Linked DNA regions of Yarrowia lipolytica. The protein of the gene in region 2 purifies or fractionates together with the protein of the main gene of each other region. This does not show direct contact. Links are inferred from orthologs where the notes say so. Each region holds a gene or a part of one and is shown on either strand. Other genes may lie near its edges.

Region 1 (3,644 bases), on a different chromosome or scaffold from region 2:
CGCTCTAGACTACTGGCTGCTCTGTCGTCTCTTGATGCTCGTGGATCTTTGCTCAAGAGCGACACAAAGTCGAAATCGAATGCCTCGCTGGCTTCGGGTGTCAACATCACCGCCTCAGACTACTCTCCCTTGTTGGCCTCTTCTTCTGACACTGAATTTGACGTTGTCAAGTCGGAAGATGTGCTTGGACTTGATGGGAACGTGAAGGACGAACGTCCCAACTCAAGGGGCTGGTTCTGGCAGCGTCACTACTCCAAGGTTGGCGAGGCCAACAAGGCTGGCTACGAGAAACTCGTAGATCCCCCATCTGAGCCTCCTGTATCTGGGGCGAGTATGGCTCGAGAATCAGAGGAGGAGGAGCCTCTCATTCCCTCCAACCTGTAAGGGCATGGTACCTGCAGCTCCTTCCTAGCTGACTACCTTTGGTACAAGTAGCTCTCTTCCCAACTATCCCAACTCCGGCTAGTTCCAGCTATAGTTATATTTATCACGGACATTGTTGTAGTTATTGTCGCTGTCGTATCATTTGTATTCACCTCGTTCTAGTATCCGTCTATGTACATACACTACTCCTGGTAAGGGTAGGCTAGGGTCTCTCCCTTGAGCTTCCACAGCTTCTTCTTTCGCTTGTTGACAACATGTGTTCCCCACACCTCCTCGCAATGCTGGGCCTTGAACTTTCGGATGAACTTGGGCTCCCACAGCTCAGAAGCCACGCCCAGGTCCTTGCAGCATCGCATCATGGCGTTGGATTTGCATCCTTCAGAGGCAGTAGGAACGCCGTCTTCGTTAAAGTAGGTCTGTTCTCCTCGAGCCACAGACACAAGTCTCCCCTCGCAGATGAGACCGTATTCACGCGTCACAATCTTGTCAGTGACAACGGTGTCACTTCGGGGGGCCAGACCCCATCCTCCAGGTCCGAACGCCGCATTCAAAACACGTCGGTATTTGATTTCCGGCAGGTACAGCAGTCCGTCAGGGGTGATTTCGATGTCTTCGACTGTGAGAGGAGCCTGGAGAACCTGGGCGGCCTCCTTAGAGAAGGCTTGGGAGCCCAGACCCTGGAAAGACTGTTCCCAGTCGATTTCTCGCTGGTTCATATGCTGGAAGACGTTTGATTGGGCTCCCTCAGGATACTGGAAGGTGGGTGCTTGGTCAACTGTAGACGTGTCGACCTGGGGCATATCGTCGGCTTCGATAGGCTCAGCGGCAGGAGATGAAGCAGCAACAGGAGTCTTCTTGGTGGCGTTGCTCACAGAGGCGGTGGAAGCAGCAGAGGCAGCTTTTCGCCAGTACGAGGAGGCAGCAGGCTTTTTAGCAGGAGTAGCAGGAGCCGAAGTGGCGGAAGCCGCAGCGGGTTTGGTAGCAGCCGCAGCAGTTCGGTAACCCATGGCTCGAACGCCGCGCGCAACCACTAGCGCTACTGTAGGTCTCATTGTATCGTGATGTTGGTGTCAGTATGGAGCAGGTCCAGTTTACATTTCATTTTTCATGTCTGATACGGGTTAGGGTTTGTGTGTGTGAAACGTATGACTCAGATAACGTCTATTGGGCGCTAACGATGTGGGAACAGGTGCGAATATTTGGTTGCGTTTAGGATCTCAGAGTGGTTCTTCCTTATTCAGTTGTCGTCACCAAGCTCTGGTACAGTATCTATTACGATGATTGAGTCTATGGTTGCATACTACGCGCAACCAAGCAGCGGTTGGCAGGTAATATGAGTCTGAAGTAAGCAATGAAGATCTGAAATGATCCAAATAAGTAAGAATTTATTTCATGAATATCTCAGATAGACCTTATCAAAGAATAATGAGATCCTTGGGGTTATCACCACACATGCCTCATTTTGGTCCATGCGTTTGTCATGCACAGCCCATTCTGGAAGAAGAAATTGAGGTGCTTCTTTGGGTGGCAAAAAACTTTGTCCTCGGACGGTGATGCTGAGGAGATGATTGAAAGCAGAAGTGATCGAAGTCGGAGATCGAAACCGGAGAAGAAGATATACGAATCAAAATGGATGGCGCGTATAACTGGTAATTTCAATTTGCCCTGATATAAAAGCAGTCCGTGCAGACGACTCATATCAGCTATTCCAATAGCTGAATTGAATATCAGGGGGGTCTTCGATGGCTTCTCTCAGGAAGGCTACATATGTTTCCAAGCAGCCATTAGTCGGGATTTTGCTGCAGGCGAAGCAGATCCGGACTCCTTCCAATCTACCAATGCCTCCAGAGCAGATTTGGACAAGGTGAGCAAGAAGAGCAAGAAGACCAGAACTGAAGGTATGACCGCGAGCGCACTATGCACTATGTATGTACAGTATGGGATGACATAAACCACGAGTAAAGTATGTACAATAGGGAATGAAATGCGAGAATGTTCCATTATTCGCTCAAAGGTCCACAACTATTAGTTGCACATGATTTACTGTGAATCATGTTTCTACTGTTGAATTTTTTTTTCCATACAGCCTCATATGTCTTTTCGTCTCATCTCATATTTGGGGCTGATTTTAATTCTTACCTTAGCCGTAGCTATCGTCCTGAATAGTACATCGCCGTTCACGACAGTGCTTCACAATGAGAAAAACCAACAAAGACAACCCAGCCGCCACACAAAAACAAATGGCACAAAAACCTGCAACGCAAAAGTCTCCTCTCAAACCCACGCTTGAGCAAACAGAGCTGTACAGGTTATGCGAAGATCTACAGAAACAGTCGCCCTCAATGCTCCTTTCACTACCCTCTCTACCAGCGTTCATCCGCACTCTTCACGCAGAATTGGTAGCAAAGCGCTCTGAGAAGACTTCCAGCTCGTCAAAGTCGTACACAGATTCCCCAGTTCCATTCACGCCACCACCCAAGAGACGTCTCAGTGAGCACATGGTGAGCCCCAACATGAAGCTACACCGCTCAGACAGCTTCGATTACGACACCACGCCAACCAAAAAGAGAAAATCCATGTGAGACCTACCTCCTAAAAAGGGCTCTTCTGGCCAATCCTCGAATCCTAGTCGCCCGAGCCGTTATTTAGTGTGATCAAGCTTATGATGATCTTGCACTCCTGTAGTGGCCCGGCTTCGGCTCTGTTACCGGATTCAAACGCAAACGATACGAAATCACGGCAAACATACCAACACAGCTATCTGAAATCGCCTAACTTCTTGCAATATGAACGCCAGGTCCGGCAAAAATGCCCATTGCGCCCTCCGCAGTATGTACAGTAACATGCGGTTGTACACGCCGCAGGCATTATTTGGAATGGGGAAAATATCATGAAAAGTGTTGTATCTATCTCTTGTAGCAAGGCCCTCTTTCAACCACCCAGCAATTCTCGAATTACGTGAACTTGCTACAAGAACGGAACAATAAACGAAGTCCCTCTCAAATCTAACAAATAAGGTTTGATATGGAGATGTGGTCATACTGCAACCATGTATGTACAAGTACACCTTAAACCTTGTGCTAGTATATGTTTTTAAATTGGTCCCAAATGTTGGAAGCAAGGAGTTGTGATAGGGGTGGGAGTGAAAGGCATAAACAGACAGTGATAACTAATTTAAAGTAGCTATCCATGATACACAGTTTGCAGAATTATATCGCTTTTTTAGTTACCCCAGCGAGCGCCTCTCTTTCACAAACTAC
Region 2 (5,178 bases):
CATATGGGAGGGGTTTGTCGTCGAGTGTGGTCTGAGTTTCCAGGCGACGTTTGGGGGGTCCGAAACAGTTGATTGAAGTTTGATCAAGTCTAAATCTAAAAAATGGGAGTCAAAAATTTCAGTCTCTGAGACAACTTGTGCATGGCTTCCGGAAAACAGAATTCGACACTGTCCAAAACAGAGCTTTATCTCTCAATCCATGCGTCATCTGAGCGACATTGCGGCGATATTTTTCTGAAACCGTGCGTAATCAGAAAGCTCTGGGCAGCAGATATGCATGGCCGATGAGACCAGTCGAGGAGCAGAAGGTAACCTTGCATAGAAATGTGCTAACGACCCCCCAAAGGGGGAAATCTAGTGTGCTCTTATAATACCTCAATATATGTTTTACATGTTCTACAGATATGGCGAGTCACCTCCCCATGGCTGCGTTGGAATACCCTCATCGTCTTAGAGTTGGAAGACCCGAAGATCGCCGTCTTTCGAGTCTATTGTCATGCAAGAAGAATTGAACGCCTCCTTACAAAAATGTCGTGTGATACAATACCAAGTATGACCAATAAATATTCGTGTATATACATACTTGTGCTTTCGTCTCTATCATTACTTGTCTCCAGGCTTGGCCAGAGCTTCGTCCAATCTATCGAAGAATTCATCGTCAAACGACGACGAGTCGATAGATTCCGCCAGTTGTGGTGCAGGTGTCATTTTGACAGGTGCCAGTGGTATTCCAGAAGATGGTTGAGACTGTCTCTGTTCCACAGGTACCGCCTGGGTCTGTACTGAACCTGTAGTCGTCTGTACCTCATTGGTAGTCCCCTGTGTACCCTCACTAATCGACTGGCCTCCTCCAGACTTACTACTGTTCAGAACATCCTCCAGCTCCTTATCGAAATCATCATCACCGATGAACTCTTCCAGGCTCATATCTTGCTCCCGTTCATCGTCCAATTCCACCAAGTCATGCAAATGTTGAGGAACCTCTTCCTGCTCTAGCTCCTCCTCAATGTCTTCTGCCAGGCTATCATGAGACCGGTTGCCCAAGGCCTCATCGAGATCTGCTTCGAGTTCATCAACATCGACTTTGGTACGCTTCGTAGGTGGGGTAGGGCTGTTAGGTATGTCTTGGCTGCTCTGACCATTACTGGACTGGCTGCTTCTCATGGCCATCTCCTTAGCGGTCATGAACCCCAAAGTCGCATTCTCTGGCATCTTCAACACCTTCTTCTTCCTCTTCTGAGGCACAATGAAGTGGCCGTTCTTGTCTTTCCTCAGACGCAGCTCCTTGTCACCTTTGGCGACCACATCCGCGAGCTCCAGATGATCCTTGTCGGTTTTGTCTAGAATCTCCTGGTTCTCACCTGGTAAGATAACTTGCTTCATGAAATGGGGAGGAGGAGGATCGGTAGCGGCACCGGGAATTACACGATTCGGAGGGTAAAGCTTTACACGAGACCCCTTTTCCATCAAACGCTGAATGTAGCTGTAGTTATCACGCGACTTGATATTGTTCTCCATCTCCTTATCGGTCATCAGAAGCACTACCCGACCGTCTCGGGAACGTCCTGTTCGTCCCATCCGCTGCAGAGACGTAATAGGTGAAGCGTTGGAGTCGTAGCAGATGATGAGATCAACCTGTCCGATATCGAGACCTTCTTCAGCGATGGAAGTAGCCACCAGAGTATTGTAGACGCCCTTTCGGAACTTGGAAATAACCTCTTGTTGTTTCTTTTGGGTCATTCCCCGTCCACCTCCCTCTTCACGTGAAGGAGCCTGGCCAATGAACTCATGTGGCTTGACCTGTGGGAATTTGGTCAGATACTCCATGATCACATTCACAGTACTTCTGAAGCGCGCGAAAATGATGCATGTACCTGTGTTAGCTCCCTCGGGAGCCTTGCTGAAAAACTCGTTCAACTCCGATCCGAGATAGTTCAACTTAGGATGAGCCAGGTATCCTTCTTTTTTCATGATCGTCTTGGTGGCATCTAAAATTGAGCCAATATCCCCTACCTGTTCGTATGACTTTGTAGGCTGTTTTCGAGCCATTTCCTCGTCGTGTCGTCGCTTCAGGGTGTCGTAGAACTGCGTGATTCCCTGGTGTTGCAACAGCTGGGTAGCATGGGCTATGGAGGCTACTACAGCTCCAATACCTCGGTACTTGTACTGGGCAGCAGGTCCGAGATATTTGGTTCGAAACATGTACCGTTCTATCTCCTTCTTGACGCCAAACAGTGAGATTTTTGCAATGTCTGTGTTATGCAGCACCCCCTTCGAGGCCATCATAGACAAGGTAGGTTTGAGTACCTGCCCAGTCAGAGCCAACAACTCATTAATATCGCTTCCCAGATCGACGTTGATCTTGACCTCTTCTCGATTGTGCATGTACTGCTGCACATCTGGATCCTGTTCTCCCTTGACTTCCAAGTGACTAATTAGAAGATGTTGCACGACAGACTGCACCCCTTCAACCTTGGAAGCTGGAGTGGCTGTGAGGCCAAGAACACGGAAGCTTTGGTGTGCATCCAGCAGCTTCTTGACCACTATTCCGTACGAGTATTTGCCACTGGTGTGATGTGCCTCGTCGACAACCAACAAGGAAACCGTCTTTGGGTCCAAGATCTCACCATCGAGATCGAGCTCCACAACCTGAGGAGTGGCGAAAAACACACGTTTGTTAGCCCACTCATGTGCTCTATCAGCCTGTTTAACTCCTCCCATCAGCACACTGCAGTCGTGCCTCGGGATACCAGTGATTCGAAGACAGGCATCGATTTGCTGTGAAACGAGGGGCTTTGTTGGCGCCATGAAAATGATCTTTGCATCTTTAAACCATCGGTAAAAGTTGAGCATGACCACAGACGCAATGAAGGTCTTACCTAGACCGGTGGGAAGAGAGCAGAGAGTATTCTCAATCAGACAAGATTGAATGATGGTATGCTGGTAAGTTCGGAACGGCAGATTTGAGGGGTACAGAAAAGATCCGGTGAGACCCGTCGTCTCATGGTGACAGGCTGTGTCCATTGGTCGAGGGTATGTCAGGTTCAGATCAATGTCTGGTGTATTTGTAGATTCTGCCGGATCAGCATTGTACCTGGGTAGCTGAGTTCGTTGTGGTCCAGAAGGTTGCTGTCGCGGCGGTTGCTGTCCCAGCGGCTGTTGTCGAGCCGGTGTTGGTTGTTGTTGAGCAGTTGATGGCTTGTGAACAGCTGTTTGTTCCTTTGTCACTGGTTTCGCTGGTCTGGGTTAGTATTGAATCGTTCTGAAAAGCGTTTCGAACACTCACTCTTTTACCACTGTGGAGAAGTCGAAATCGTCGAGATCGTCGAGATCGTCGAGATCCGAGTCGTCCAGGAGTGCTGGAGCCTTGTTCTTGGGCAGCGCATCGAATTCGCTGTCGCTCAGGTCATCCAGCAGCATATGTTTGGTGAGTGTTGATTTTGCCACTGTCGCCGCGAAACGCGTACTCGTAATTAACACCCCTGCTTAAAGTTTGGCCTTCAGGTACGTGTTGATTCTTGTACAAGAACAGCATGGTAACTACAAGTATCGGTGGGCGGTATTTGGAGGTGGAGATTGCGTTTTACGAATCTACTGTACAATTACTTGTTCAGTGATTTGAATGGACGCACTTCTCACTCTTCAAACTATGTCTGAGTCCATCACCGACAGTGCATGAGTGGATTCATATTGGGCAGCCCAAACAGTGAGGGCATATCAACAGACACGATGATGGCACTTGAAGAGCTCTACAATCATGTTTCACATTCATTCTGGTATTCGCATCTAACAATGCGAGAAGCAAAATCGCGGTTCAAATCGGACCCAATTCAGGGGTCAGATAAGTTAGCCATACTTCTTTAGAACTGCCTCCATTGGAAGCCACGAAGAGGCTTGCCAACGACCGTGATGATTATGGATGAGCGAACGAGGAAACGAGTGAGCTCGGAAAGAAGCATCTGCGAGCCTTCACGAGAAGAGTGGAGAGAGGCTTGCTAGGAGACACTGAAGTGGACCGACGTTAGGAGGTACACGGATGGGTCGACGCTGTGGACTTGCGAAGAGAATGGAAGCGAGTACACTGGTGATCAGTTGGAATGCTAATGATAACTGGGAACCCTCGGAGGAGATAATGGAGCCAGGACGATGAATCTGTGGAACTGAGCATGAAGAGTTCGGCTTGAGCAATGAGGCGACGAAAGTTGGTGAGTGAGATCACGATCCACTGAGGAGGAGATCTGTGAAAGCCTGGATGTACTGGACGTGATTCGAAGAAGCAAGTACTGAGTAACGCCGAGACAAGTGGTATTTGACGAGGGCGCTGAGGAGACAATCTCGCGCCAGAATACTTACGACAGAGGGGTGATCCCACAGGGAGCCCGATAACAGCTTATTATTGAAGCTTGAGATTAGCAGAGCCAGGAGCGCAGTATTGAGACTAGCAGCCTTGGATAGAGATAGCGACAAAGCGAAAGTGCATTCGACGGAGACAGTTACGGAGTGATCACTGAAGCGGACGCAAAGAGTAAGATGCAGAGTGTGAACGATTGGCTGATCAGATATTGCTGAAAACCTGAAGCAAACAGTGGAAAGCGGAGATTGCAGAAAGCTTGAAGCAAACAGATGGTGGAAAGCAGATTGAAATTTTTGGAGATTTTGGGGACTAGAGATGATGCTGAAGAGTACACGAACAATGTGAACGAGTATTACGTGTCACAGTATTGATGATGCTGTTTGTGGCGTTGATTGAGATCTTGGGAAAGATGAGAATCAAGTGAAAGATATGTGGATTCTATGAGTGGCCAAGCGACGAGCGCTAAGTAAGACCAATGAAATGTTGGATTCGACTTCCATGATGTTTGAGATATTGCCGTGAGCGGTTGAACTCGAATGGTTGGAGTTCGTATCACTGGGATTGGTTATGTGGATTATGGGTTGAATTATGACCCGTGACTCGTATGATCCATGAAGGACGTGGACGTCTCTTAAGGAGGGGAGAGTGTAACTGCACCAGACTTGATGAGCTTCCCTTTGGAGCAGTTCGACCGATCATGAAGACCAACAATTGACAATATTCTCCAATCACTTAGAACCCGTCAACGTATGGCAACGCATGGCAACATCTATGGTATACCACCAACACATTGACCAAGTCCCATAAATCGTTGAGAAGCCGAT

Evidence for each region.
Region 1: the proteins of YALI1_C28963g (region 2) and YALI1_E07040g purify together in Saccharomyces cerevisiae (affinity purification with mass spectrometry; 3 studies listed by BioGRID, with this or other methods). This does not show direct contact. The link is inferred for Yarrowia lipolytica from reciprocal best matches to the Saccharomyces cerevisiae genes MPH1 and MGM101.

The regions. Positions count from the first base shown.
Region 1 is NC_090774.1:702,643-706,286, forward strand, and holds YALI1_E07040g (uncharacterized protein), read right to left. Parts: upstream 1,437-3,644; coding exon 567-1,436; downstream 1-566. Other genes in the region: YALI1_E07019g (uncharacterized protein), read left to right, coding at 1-384. UniProt on the Saccharomyces cerevisiae protein: Performs an essential function in the repair of oxidatively damaged mtDNA that is required for the maintenance of the mitochondrial genome. Binds to DNA.
Region 2 is NC_090772.1:2,894,567-2,899,744, reverse strand, and holds YALI1_C28963g (uncharacterized protein), read right to left. Parts: upstream 3,421-5,178; coding exon 3,287-3,420; intron 3,242-3,286; coding exon 604-3,241; downstream 1-603. Other genes in the region: YALI1_C28997g (uncharacterized protein), read right to left, coding at 1-3. UniProt on the Saccharomyces cerevisiae protein: ATP-dependent DNA helicase involved in DNA damage repair by homologous recombination and in genome maintenance. Capable of unwinding D-loops. Plays a role in limiting crossover recombinants during mitotic DNA double-strand break (DSB) repair.